2 linked regions of the Oryzias latipes genome follow. The protein of the gene in region 1 interacts with the protein of each later gene in a pairwise test. Links are inferred from orthologs where the notes say so. Each region holds a gene or a part of one and is shown on either strand. Other genes may lie near its edges.

Region 1 (6,282 bases):
ACCTTTCTGTAAAGGTCTTAGGATTCACACTGACACGTTTCGTCCGTTGGCTTTATGGAAAAATAGACTTTAACTAATGTAAAGGGCTCTTTATGATAAAGAAAAAATGGAAAAAGGTTCATTGTATGAATGCAACAATGTGTGAATGATGAAAGTTTAAGAAATGTCTGGACTAGTGAAGGTACACAAATGATGATCACATGATACTACAAGCGGGTTTATTTCTGTCTCCTTTGTACATAAAACTCCTTTCCTGCAGTGCTTCCCCCAAAATTCTGACGGAGCATTAAAAAGTTGACTGATCTTTTACACAAAATGTAAAAAAAATTATCCAAATGATTAATTACATGTGTTCTCAAAATAACTTTTTGCTTTTTTTGTTAAGCAAAAAACAACTTATAGTCCGTTTTTTATGTAGGAATGAATACTTTTGTTGAAAAAAGTTCTGCCTTTGTCCAGTTTCTTGTGAGTATTGTAAAATGTTTTTTTCTATAATGGTTTAGAATGCAAATTTGTCACAAAAAAAATCATTTGATTTTTAATTGAGTTTTGAATGAAGTTGAATGGTGAATTGAAATGGATTATCCATGACAGTTTTTGGTTGTGGTTCATGTTTGTGCGTGCACAATACACCTCAAGTTTAGTGGTTATTGTGAAACCCTAAAAGTAGGTCAAACTGCTCTACATTCGGCTAAAGAGACGCTCTCTGTGGAACCACAAAACACAGGTTTATCCCCTGAACGTCTAGACCACCTCAGTAATCAGTGCAGCTGTGGTTCAGGGTCTGCTCACATTAAGTATAGCGCAAACTGCGCTGGCGTTTGATGCTCACCATCAGTCGCCTGTAACTCAGACTGAGATGCACAACTGTGGAGCCATGTGATACAAATATTTTAACAGCAATAGTGTACATAAATTCCCTCTCCTCTACCTCCAGTCACTGACAGCAGCACCAGCTGGCTGGTGAGGAAACAAACCCAAAACTATCCTCACGGTTCAAAAAGTGTTTCATTGGTTCACAAGCCCTCTCTTCAAACAAAGAGTTGATATGTGGTCCAAAAGCTTTTTTAATATAGAAAGACAGAGAAAAAACGACTCTACTGTTAAAATAAGGAAATGCATTCTTAGATGTACATCATCACATGCCAGTAGGGCTGCACGATATGAGGAAGACCTGCGATATGTGATATTTGTGATCAATATTGTGATAACAAATAGCAAAACAACCCAAAAAAGCATTCCCATTTCATTCCAACAGTTTAAAAAGTATACCCCAAGTGACCCTCCTTGACACAGATGAACATCCAAGATAAAAGAGCTCCATCTGATTGGGTAACTGGAAGGTGTCCCTCTGATTGGTCAAATGGATAAATGGATTTATTTGATTTGTTAAATACTTCATAAGATTGTTTTAGCTCATTAAGGAAACCATTTATTGCAATTTTCTCCGTCTTTCACGATATGCATATTTCACAGCTTGATGTCGCGATGACGATAAATTTACGATATATTGTGCAGGCCTACATGCCAGTGGTGAGTCCGAGAGACAGGGACTTGGGACTTGGAATTGAGTCAGAATTAAGTCTCACATACAGAGACTTGACTTACAGTTTCATCTCAAGACTTGGGACTTGACTTGAAAATACGGCTAAAGATGCTGGACTTGACTAATAGTTAAAGCTAATAAATTGAGACTTGACTTGAAGTACCAGATAAAGACTTGAGACTTGACTGGAACTTATCACCAAAGACTCAAGACTTAAGTTGATTTCATCACCAAAGTTTTCAAATTTGACTTGAAAATAAATACGAAGACTTTGGAGTTGACTTGAAGTTGAAGAAAGAGACGTGTGAGCATTTCTGGTGTGTGCTGGTCTTAGGTTTTATGTTTTTTAAAGGTTTCCCTTTGTTCATTCTTTTCTTTGAGAATTGTCTTTTAAAGTCCTTCTAAAACCCAACAAGCTCAGGTTTACTGTCACATGGTAAGTTTTCACTTAAATTAAGTGAAAAAAGGAGAGAATATCCAACAAGAACTGGAGCTGGACAAACTGTTGATACTCTGATGGCAGATGTTTACTTCATTTAGATTAAAAATACCATCCAGTTGAGTCTGTTAAAAACTGTAACTTTGAATGGATATTACAAAAAATGTAAACGTGTTTTTTTTTTTTTATCTGTCCTACAGAACAAGGGGATCCACGAGTGGAACTTCAACGCCAAGTCTGTGCGGGGTGTCAGGTCAGGTCCAAACCCCATTAGACTGGTTGTCGGTTCCATTTCCTGTTGGCTCTCCTGGAGCTTGTGTGTTAGCAAAATGCATAAAACTTGAGACAAGTGGGGTGTCTCACTTCTTCTTCATTCTAAACATTTACACCAAATGTTCAATTAAAATGTTAATTAAAAAGAACAATAGAAAAGGAAAGTGGGAAGGAAAAACCATCCCAAAGTGACCGCTACTTTACTCATCAGTTAAACTCCTGGTCATTGCTGCAGCTTTAAGGGGAAGGCAAAAAGAGTCATTTGAGGTACTAAACATCAGCCTCAGCTCCTTCTTTTACATGTGGGTTGACATTTTTGCCAACTGCTATCTTCATGCCAGCTTCCTCATTAAAGAGAAAGATGGAGATAAACAGGCAGGAACATGAAGTGGGATTGTAATCCAATGCTCCTGTTTTAGAAACACTTCTTATCTCCTATATTTAACTCCAAGAGCTTGATTCTGTTGCTTTCTTTCTCGTCTTGACTTGTTTCAAGCAACTCTCCAGACTTTATCCCAACATTTACAGCAGGAACAGCTTGTTTTGTTGGCCGATATTAAGGACAATTTAAAGCATGGAGGTCGTTTTCCGTCGCCTCTCTTAACTGGACTAAATGAAAGACCACCACGGAAGAATTTTCTTCCCATATTTTTTTTCCCCTGCACGCCCCTCAAAGGAATTCAGTATCGGATCGGACGGGTTGTGCTTGCATGTTGCTAAGGAACGGCTCATTCCCTGAGCCCACTCAGCCTGCAGACAGTCAGCAGGACACAATAGCAGCTCTCTGAGCTGCAATGCCAACCAGAGCACACTGTGACACAAACTTCAATGTCTGGCTCAGCAAATTCTAAGATGGACAAAGCATCATCTCTCTGGACAAACACTTCATCTCACCAGTTGTTTGCTGAGCATATATCTTTTGGCGAAGCCTAGATTTAATAAAATATAAAATCATTCCTCATATAGAGAGAACATGAATAACTCTTGACTGTCTCTTCTCAGCATCTCCAAGTTTGACGAGCGCAGCGCCTTCCTCTATGTGCTCCACAATGCAGAGGACTTCCAGATCTATTTCTGCACAGAGATTCACTGCAAAAGGTCGGTCCGCCTATCATGGCTCCCGTTTCGGTTTAATCACAGGTAGTTCATTTCATCAGTCATTGCTAAGCGAGTCTCCTGCTGCACTGCAGTGGTCCCCTGTAGCTTTAAAACAAACACTTTAAGATACATCACTCACTGATCTAAAGATCGGTGCGTTGATCATGGCGCCATACCTGAGATTGTCAAATGTAGCTTCAACTACTATTTTATAATGCAGTTTAGCTTAAAAACATTTAAAACGACAAAGATTCTCAATTTTTTGTCATTTTTTTCCTCTGATGGTGATTCACATTGAAATTCAAAGGATTATCAGGTCTGTTGTTGCTTAAAGCCTTAGTCACCTGTATAGGTGCTGCAGGTTTCTGGATTCCAGGCCCATGGAGGGTTGTAGAAAACGTTCCATTGTCGTGCGTGTGGTAGATGTATCGTAAATATGTGGGAGTTGCACGCACTTTATGCCGTACGAATGATGCTGGCGTACAGTGTCCTTACGCCACACTCATTAGCAAGGTGCAAGAACTGACTTCTTACTGACCGCACGCAATTCTGCACACACAGGATATGCAGGTGATACGCAAGTACCCATAGGACGCCTGTAGCAGGTCAGCACAAACTACAATCTGATTATCTTATTTCCTCATTTCCAGTAGTAAAGTGGCTGGATGGCTCAGTCAGCTGGGTGTCACGCAGGAAGCCTGGGTTCTATCTGGGTCTCTCTGTGCCCTGAAAATACAGGGTTGTGTCAGGAAGGGCATCCGGCGTAAAAACTGTCTGCCAAACCACCTGTGGTGACCCCATGAACGTAACGTAAAAGTATCTCAATCTTTTTTTATTCACAGAGAGGGAACTTTCTAAAGAAAAAAAATCAGTTTATCAGAAGAGTTATTCTAACTTTACCAAGCTCTCTAAGTGCTGGACTCTGATTGGTTGTCTGCCCCCTCCTCTAACCCTCCCTCCCCCCTAGTTCCACAGATCAGTTTGACACAAGTTTTGCAGCAAGGAATATGTTTTGCGCCAGCAGATTCACGCAGAAGCACATTTGAGCAGTTGTACTCACAGATTTGACGTTGCAACTCTAAATGAACACATGCAAATGGGAATTTGTCAGTTCACAACAGAAGATTTTTACACACAGATGCAGATTTTTGGTGCACAAGTTTTCACATTTTATTTTACAAGTTCTCACATCAAATCTACAAGTTCATCCATTTAGAGACATTTTTACCTTCATAGCTTTTGTCACAAACAGGAGTTGTATGTGTGGATGGAATGGGATCATTCCTGGGGCTTTACATAACAATCATTTCAGACAAAACTCATCCTTCTAAGAGGAACAACCTGTAAAATAGATAACTGACAAAAAAAAATTTTACCCAATAGAAAGTGAAAATATCATTTTCAATTTTGGATCTGATTCTAACATTTTTGCATAAATCCTGCCGCTGCAAAAAACTCTTTCTGCAGGAACTTGAAGTCCTCTTGTCAGTTCTGAACCCTGGTGGGAAATTTCCCGTTCTTCCATCGGCAGCACACCTTGTTTCATTTCAACCCCATCATGTCCCCTGCCAGCTGCTCTTTGCAGCTCTGTGTTCCAACTTGTGACTCTCACATCTGAGGCTTCCAGTGTCATTATCTGGAGTGTGAGAGCCCAGTGACTCATGCCTGCTGTTGCGGTTACCGACGGTCCCTTTATCTCTGCTTCTGCAGGAAAAAAAGGTTTAAAGGACAGCAAGTGGAGGAAAGCTGCAGTTCTAAAAAATAAAAAAAAGGGACAAACAGCAATAGAAAGGATTGATTTGCATGTCTGCCTGCAGACATTGTGATTGGTTTGTGTTCACAATGACAGTGTGGTTGAACACCTGCAGGCGTCAAGTGTGACAGCATGATGAGTGCTATTTCACAGCTTGTGAGCAGCACAGACAGTAAATGTCATTGTATGAATGCATTGTGGAGGAGGAGTGCATGTAAACACACTGTTGCCCTATCAGGATAGGATCAGAGGCTACATGGCAACTCTCAATGACAATAAACTGAAAATTTAATTTTTTTAAATGTAAATTTTTAAGGACGTTTACTTGTCTTAGCTTTTTATATTTTTATTTATGGTAATATATGTTTATATATTTTCTAATGTATTGTTTTATTAGATAAACTTGATAAAACTTGAAAAGTATGAAATGCATAAAACAAATTTACACTGATTTGTATTCTTTTTTTGTTGTATACTTTTAGAAGGATTTTTAACAATATATACTTTATTCTTTTACTTACTGAATATTTGTATTAAATGGTATTATGAAATTATATTTGTATACATTAAACTCTTTTGCACATCAATTTCTATAATATGTAATATTTTTCAATTTTGTATTGTAATCGTTTTTACTTTTTTTTGCTAATCAAACCTTCTAAAATATGATTATTTTTTTTAATTAACAAAGTTTTTTAAATCTCTTTTAACATAATGTTATCATTATGCTATCAGGGTTACTACTTTTATATGTTTTTTTTATATATTTTTGTAAATTTTTATTTCTGTTCAATTTGTATTATTTATTCATTTATTTTAGCCAAAAATAACATGCCAACATTTCTTAATTATGTATTGGTATTTATGTATTTATAAATATTCATTTATTTTAATTTTAATTGCAACCTGGGCAAGAGGTAAGCAGCTCAAGTCACTAAGACAAAAGAGTTAAACAATGACAGAAAGACATTTAACAGGAAAGCAAGAAAATAAAATGGAACTTGTGCTTTAAAAATTGAAAGCAAGAGTAGAATAGTTAAGAAACAAGAGTAACAAATTGCAAACACAGGTACTGTTGAAAAGACTGTCATTGTTCTAGTTTCTTTAAAATGATGCAAAAAAGGCAAAGAGGAATAAACATAGATAGTTTCATCTCAGGTTGTAGGATGTTTC
Region 2 (6,282 bases), on another chromosome or scaffold:
CTGCAACAGACTGGCGATCTGTACCACGCCTTCGCTCAACAGTAGCTGGGACAGGCTCCAGCACCCTTTGGCTGGACTCGAAGTGATGCTATCCTTAACCAAAGCAAGGAGATTCAAATGTCAAATCAAACCAAATCCAGAGAATTAACCACAGGTTCCTCCACCTTCTGCCTCTGTGACCTAAACGGGTTAGATGATCTCAATGGGGAGGTTGCTTATCTCTGTCACCAGCACCACATGTCCACAACAGTAACCCACAGGAGTAAAGATCAACAGTAAGGTTTACATCACGCCTCTCTGCTCCATTTCTTCCAACAATCTCTTTACAGTTCAGAACATGTAATCCACCTTCAGATTTCTGCCCCTCCTTTTTTTTTTTTAAAGGCTTTGGAAGGTTCTGTCAACTTGGACCAGTCCAATTGGGCTGGTTTGTCAGTCTAAAGCTACGTTCACCCAGTCTTCTGCAACACGTGTTCAACCACTTCCAATGAAAAGTTATGTAAATGTGTGTTTCTGGATTCCGCGTTCAAAACTCTTGCGCTCACGCATCGTTAGTTTCTACAACCGATTTGAAATTTGTTGAATGCTTTGGAGGCAGTTTGTCAACTGTAAAGCGATGTTCACAGTGCCGTTGGCAAAATGCTATTAAGCAACACCTTCCAACTAAAGGCTTTTTCAAGGCGCGAAGAAGGGTGGCTCAGGATTCCATGTTGAAAACTTGCATCCATTCAAGTTTCTACAGCCGTTTTTAGCTCTGCATAAAAAACACATGACCATTTAAGGCGTTGTGAACTGTGTAGAGCGCGTTCTTGAACGCATCTCACCTGGCCAGTGTGAATGCAACATGAAACTCTTCTTCTATGGTTGAGGAAGGGCTATACTGCCTCCAAAAGTTCCTGTTGCGCTTTGCGATCCCAATTACTTTGTGGCTGGTGGTTATTATAACCATTTCAAATGACTAAAAGATAAAATACCGATACCAAATTAGCGTCTTTTTACAGTAGTTGACTAATCATTGACACCCCTAAATGACATAAAAAAGTAATTAAGAAAAAGAGCAAACAGAAGAACAGTCTGAACAAAATAGAATCAAATACACATTAATTCCAGTGCAACACATGACACAGAGCAAAGGTCCTGCTTTCAGCAAACACTTGACAAACAGTGGCTCTTTGTCTGCGATGAGCTAAAAATCGATTTGGCTGCTCTGCTTTGTCGTCCTAATGTGCACAGGCTTGAGCGCGGCATTCTTGGCATACCGCGCTTCGTCACGGGGTTTTCAACCACACACACCAGGTCCTGACTGGACAAACTGCATTTTGTGAACACAGTCCATGATTGAATCAGTTGCTTTAATCGCCCCCTCAAGCGAGCCCCACTGCCTTCTCTTCAAAGCACATTTCAACAGCTTCCAATAAGAAGATAATGGGAAGAAAACACACAGAAGGCTATTCAGCAGGAACTTTTAAAAATGTGACCCAAAAATCAGAGCAAGTAGATTTTTCCAACTAAAGACGCATCGGAGGGAATCAAATCTAAACGTTTGCACATGGAATTGATTTAATTCTCCAAGCTGAAGGTGAAGCAACATCCAAATAACGTTTAGTTTTACGTGAAAGCGACCCATGGAAACATTCACCACTCTGCAAGGGGGATAACAGGAAAAAATGCCAAGCAAGCCAGTTGAGAAATCCACCTGATATTTCAAGATTTCAACACCACTCAGTTATGCAACCAGCTCACCATTCACTGGGGGGGGAGCGACACACACACTTGTACTGAATTGCATTGAAGAGCTCAAAAAAACACAAAAAATTGTTTTGGGTGTTTTTAATAACATGTTCTTGTAGCCTTTTTTGATGATAAAAGACGTATATAGCAAAAAATTAAGATTAAGACTACATTTCTGACTATTTCTTTATTCAAATCCTGCCATTTGAAAAAAACTGTTTCTGATGGATCCATTTACAGACAAATAGATCCATGTACGTCTTTGTTTTGCTCGGCTGAGCTGGAATCTGGATCAAAACTGTACGACTGGCTCTAACATTGTTCACCATTTTTGTTCCACCGCTAGTGTTAGTTTGGGCTTGTGAGGGCTGTAAGCTAGCAGGAGAGAGTGTGATCAAATGGATAATTGGAGAGAGTTACTTCCATGCCATCAGCCATCAGTTCCCGCCCACAACTCCGAAGTGAAATTCTAATAAATTCCTGCCGCTCTGCAGAAACTATGTCCTAGTAAACGACAGGTTTATGATTTCGGCTAAAAACAGCATAATCATAATTAAAAGACCACTGGGAACGCTCTGAAAATAGAGCTTAAGATGATCAGACTGGGACTTAAAACCAGCATTAACCTGTAAAAATGAGCAAAAGGTGTGTGGTATAAACCACACAGCTGTGTCTCACCTACCTAACCCTTAAGTGTTGTTCAGTTGTTTGAAAGGACATGTTGCCTGCAGCATACCAGCAGGAAAAACTGTGCACAAACATTCGCTGTTTGGGTTAACCCCATACAGGTGTGTCCATTTTTCCCCTGCAGACAGCCCTTATCTACCTGTAAGGGCAGTTGTGACTAAGGCATAACCTTAAAGAAGAAGCTGAAACTACTTGAATGAGTCCATACATCAGCCCTTAAATGGTCAAGGATCAAATCTACTCATCTTCACCTCATCACATCCTGCGTTGACCAGCTCGTGCAGCATCTGTCGGTTCACCTCTCCGGCCTCTCCAGACTCGTTGGCGAAGGGCATGAGGGACTTGCGGATTTCTCTGAGTGCATTCTGGTAGTTGTTGAACTTCTGAGGCGGCCGGAGCTGCTGCTGTCGACTGGTTGTGTCCTTCCCGCTTTTCGAGTCGGAGCCTCTCTCAGAGCGGGAGCTTCCTCCATGCAGAGCTTGGCTCACCAGCTTGGCCGGCTGCTTCAGGCCTTCCTTAATCTCCTGGAGCCTCTGTCGCGTGTTGCCCACATACGGGGCTGCTGGGAAAGTCTTGGGTCTCATGGTCTGAGAGCCTGTGCCAGGGCACTAACTCTCAGAAGGAAAGCCCACACAGTCAGTCAGAAACTAGAGCAAGCTCCCCTGCACCCTCCCGAAAACGTCTCAAGCTATCTGACCTAAATAGATAAAGAGCCTCTGGGAGCAGTTCCTGTGGCCCTCAGTCGTTTGTGTCACACTGGGTGTCTCTGATTCCTGCTGTTGCTGGTGGGGTGGACGAAAGGGACGCACAATACTACAAGCATTCCATGGTGTGACTTCAAGGCTCGGGTTCCAACTTATTCCAGGAAGTGGAGCTGCTCATGAGGGCACTATGGAGCCAAACCATGACGGTGCCCATCTGCGCCTGTAAGGGAAAACACAGAGTTAGAATATGAAGATTTCAGCTATGCACTCTCCATCAAAGTCTCCATCTTGAATGTGAGAATGGGGAAGAACATAAAAAGGGATCCAACCTTCTTCTGTAACATAAGGTGAAGGACCTGGAACTCCAAATATGTTCCCAGTGGTCACAAAATGTCAAAACTGTAACCTAGGAGACTATTATTACCTGCAGGCCTGGGAGTCAAATTCCATACCAGCAGTGCATAAGCTCTGGGGCATACCTTCTGCATAATTCAGGAATACCAGTGGTCATAACCCCCCCCCCATGCATAGCTGCAGTTGCACCACTGAGCCACCCGCTCTCACTGCATAGTACTTCATCGCAGTCATCCATGAACACGCCTCCAAGAGGAAGGGGTCACATCAAGCGATGAAGCCCCTCTGACTGAGATGCTCCCGGACATATAACCCTTGTCTTATCTGGGAGGGGACATGCTCCACATTCTGCCACTGCGGCGTTATTCCTGCATTGCAGACAGGATGACGTGTGGCATACATGTTCCTAAATGAGGCGTCACGTGAGGAGCGAGGTGAGGCCTTCATTTAGATTAATGCTGACAGTTGGAAAAATAAAAGCGCAGCTGCTGTGACTCAGATTAGTTGCAGCGATATTGTCTTTTGTGCTTTCAATTTTTCCACATTTTCAGTTTTTCTGCTTTCAGAAAAATGACAAAAACTCAGTGTTTCCACAGCCATTTCCCCTGAAAGTCCCTAAAGAAGTCCTCATGTGATGACTGAGTTTCCGTTTTTCAACTGGTTCAGAAAAGCAAACCTGAATTAAACTCAGAGCCTTTTTCGTTTCAAACGCTAAAAGGCATTTGGTGGCATGAAAACGTCCACAGCAGCTCAAAACTTTCTGACAAAGTGGACAAACTCTCTATCTGAATGTATAAAAATCTCCATTCTATCTGATGCACAAAATAACTGGAAAAGTGGAGTAACTTTATGTGCATTTCCATATGAGAAACAACGAGGGGAAGGGGGCGGGGTTGTTCTGCCAAAGGTCTCAACCACAACTCACAGGTAAATTTCTAATAAACTACTGCTTCTCTGCATAAACTATGTCCTAAAAAAACAACAACAAAGGTTTTGATTTGTTTTTTAGGTTAAAAAACGGCATAATGATAACTAGAAGAACACTGGGAACGCGTTACAATAGATCAAAAGATGATTGGAGTTGGACTTTAATGAAGAAGAATAAATATTTCAAATTTCAACAATGCAACATCACAACACACCTTGACCTCTTTTTCTTTACAGCAACATAGTTTAAGGAAAAAAAAGCTATGTTTTATTTTTGTTTTTTAAAGAGATTAACGAAAGACTTAGGTCAATATTTTCCTAAAATAAACCCTAAAAACCCTCTAACTCATTGCACAGATATTTATAAAAGAAGGCGTGATAAACATTTAATAAGTCGTATATAATAATAGTGATGAAAATAAAAATAATGATAATATTGCTGGATTTGATTTTTCTGCGCTTTTCCAGACGCTCAAAGCACAATGTGTCTCCATTATTCTTTCACTCCTCATTCATACTTGGTGATGGTAACTACTGATGTAGCCACAGCTGAGACTTTCATACGCATTCACACACCAGTGGAGCCCCACTGGAGGTCAAAGGTCTTTCCCAAGGGCAACAACAATTGACTGGGGGAAGCAGGGATCGGGGGATCGAACCGCTGACCTGTTCAATCACCATAGCCACTGCTGCCCCAATATAGTAAATCATTCTTATTTGTCACTTTGGGAGTCATTCTATTAGAGCTGTCATTTATGATTATTTCAGTAGTCCCTTAGCCAACGATTACCTTTTTTAAATACGGTGATGGGCCTTTGTTTTATAATTTGTTTTTTAAAGGGGATGGTTATTGGTGCTGGTAATCAGTCCGTGGAGGTTTAGAATCAAATATAGTAATGCTAATGCTCGGCATATGGTGCATTCAAAAAAATTCCAATTTTACTCTTATAGTTCATGATTTTCAATTTCCCCTCATAAAAGATAAAAAGGTTTAAAGTCCCAGGTAAGCTATGTGTTAGCACAAAAAAAGAAAATAATTTGCTCGCAAGCTATAGGGTTCCTGATCCCTGCACTAAATCATTCTCTAAACTTCCCGTAGAAATAGTAAGCAAAAAAGATTTTTATGATCATGGGTTTCACTCTATTGCAATTAGTAACCAGTAAAATATTCTCCAATAGTTTTCCCTCCATTCATTTCCAAAAGTGATTAAGGTGGAAGCCAGGGTGCAGCACCCCAATCATGTCTTTAAATCCATCCTCTTCAAGCATTGACAGAGGTCTCATTCCTTTTAGAAACACGTTAAGGATGCTCTGTGGAAGTGTTGCAGCCGTCTCTGGTGTGCACTGGCTCCTCCCTAGTCCACAGTCAATGGCGCCCGTGATCGTAGCTCTACGCACAAATCAGGCATTCATGGATCGCACGCTGACAGCTCAACCGGTTGAACTTTTTCATGCTAAATCACAGCGATGCAGCACTGTGACCAATCGGGGACTTAGATTTAGTAGTGACGTGTGGGTGGCGTCCGCTTCAAAACATGGAAGTTCCATCCAATGTAAACATGATCACTTAATTATTATGACTAATATGACTCCAAGATGGACATTTAAAGGTACAGAGCTGTAAAAAAAACATGTGGAGCAAGATTAGTTGGATTTGCACTGCTTTAACTTTGCGCACCGAGCCTTTTCCTATTGCAGATACCGGACGAGCGCTTTCCAAACACTAAATACACAATAAAAGAAAAATCTTTTCCCTGTCGCCACCTTCATGTCTGGTACTTGTCCTGTGTGTCCAACACCAGCTGGATGCATGTTTATAAAACTGCGGAGAGTGCGTTCTTGAACGCAGCACACACGGTGACTGTAAAAACAATGGACG

What was found.
Region 2: the proteins of map3k5 (region 1) and lats2 come close enough for resonance energy transfer, tested with the Homo sapiens proteins (2 studies listed by BioGRID, with this or other methods). The link is inferred for Oryzias latipes from reciprocal best matches to the Homo sapiens genes MAP3K5 and LATS2.

Annotation. Positions count from the first base shown.
Region 1 is NC_019882.2:18,743,612-18,749,893, reverse strand, and holds part of map3k5 (mitogen-activated protein kinase kinase kinase 5), read left to right. Parts: intron 1-2,185; coding exon 2,186-2,238; intron 2,239-3,260; coding exon 3,261-3,356; intron 3,357-6,282. UniProt on the Homo sapiens protein: Serine/threonine kinase which acts as an essential component of the MAP kinase signal transduction pathway. Plays an important role in the cascades of cellular responses evoked by changes in the environment.
Region 2 is NC_019879.2:11,532,199-11,538,480, forward strand, and holds part of lats2 (serine/threonine-protein kinase LATS2), read right to left. Parts: intron 3,343-6,282; 5' UTR 3,003-3,342; coding exon 2,670-3,002; intron 1-2,669. UniProt on the Homo sapiens protein: Negative regulator of YAP1 in the Hippo signaling pathway that plays a pivotal role in organ size control and tumor suppression by restricting proliferation and promoting apoptosis.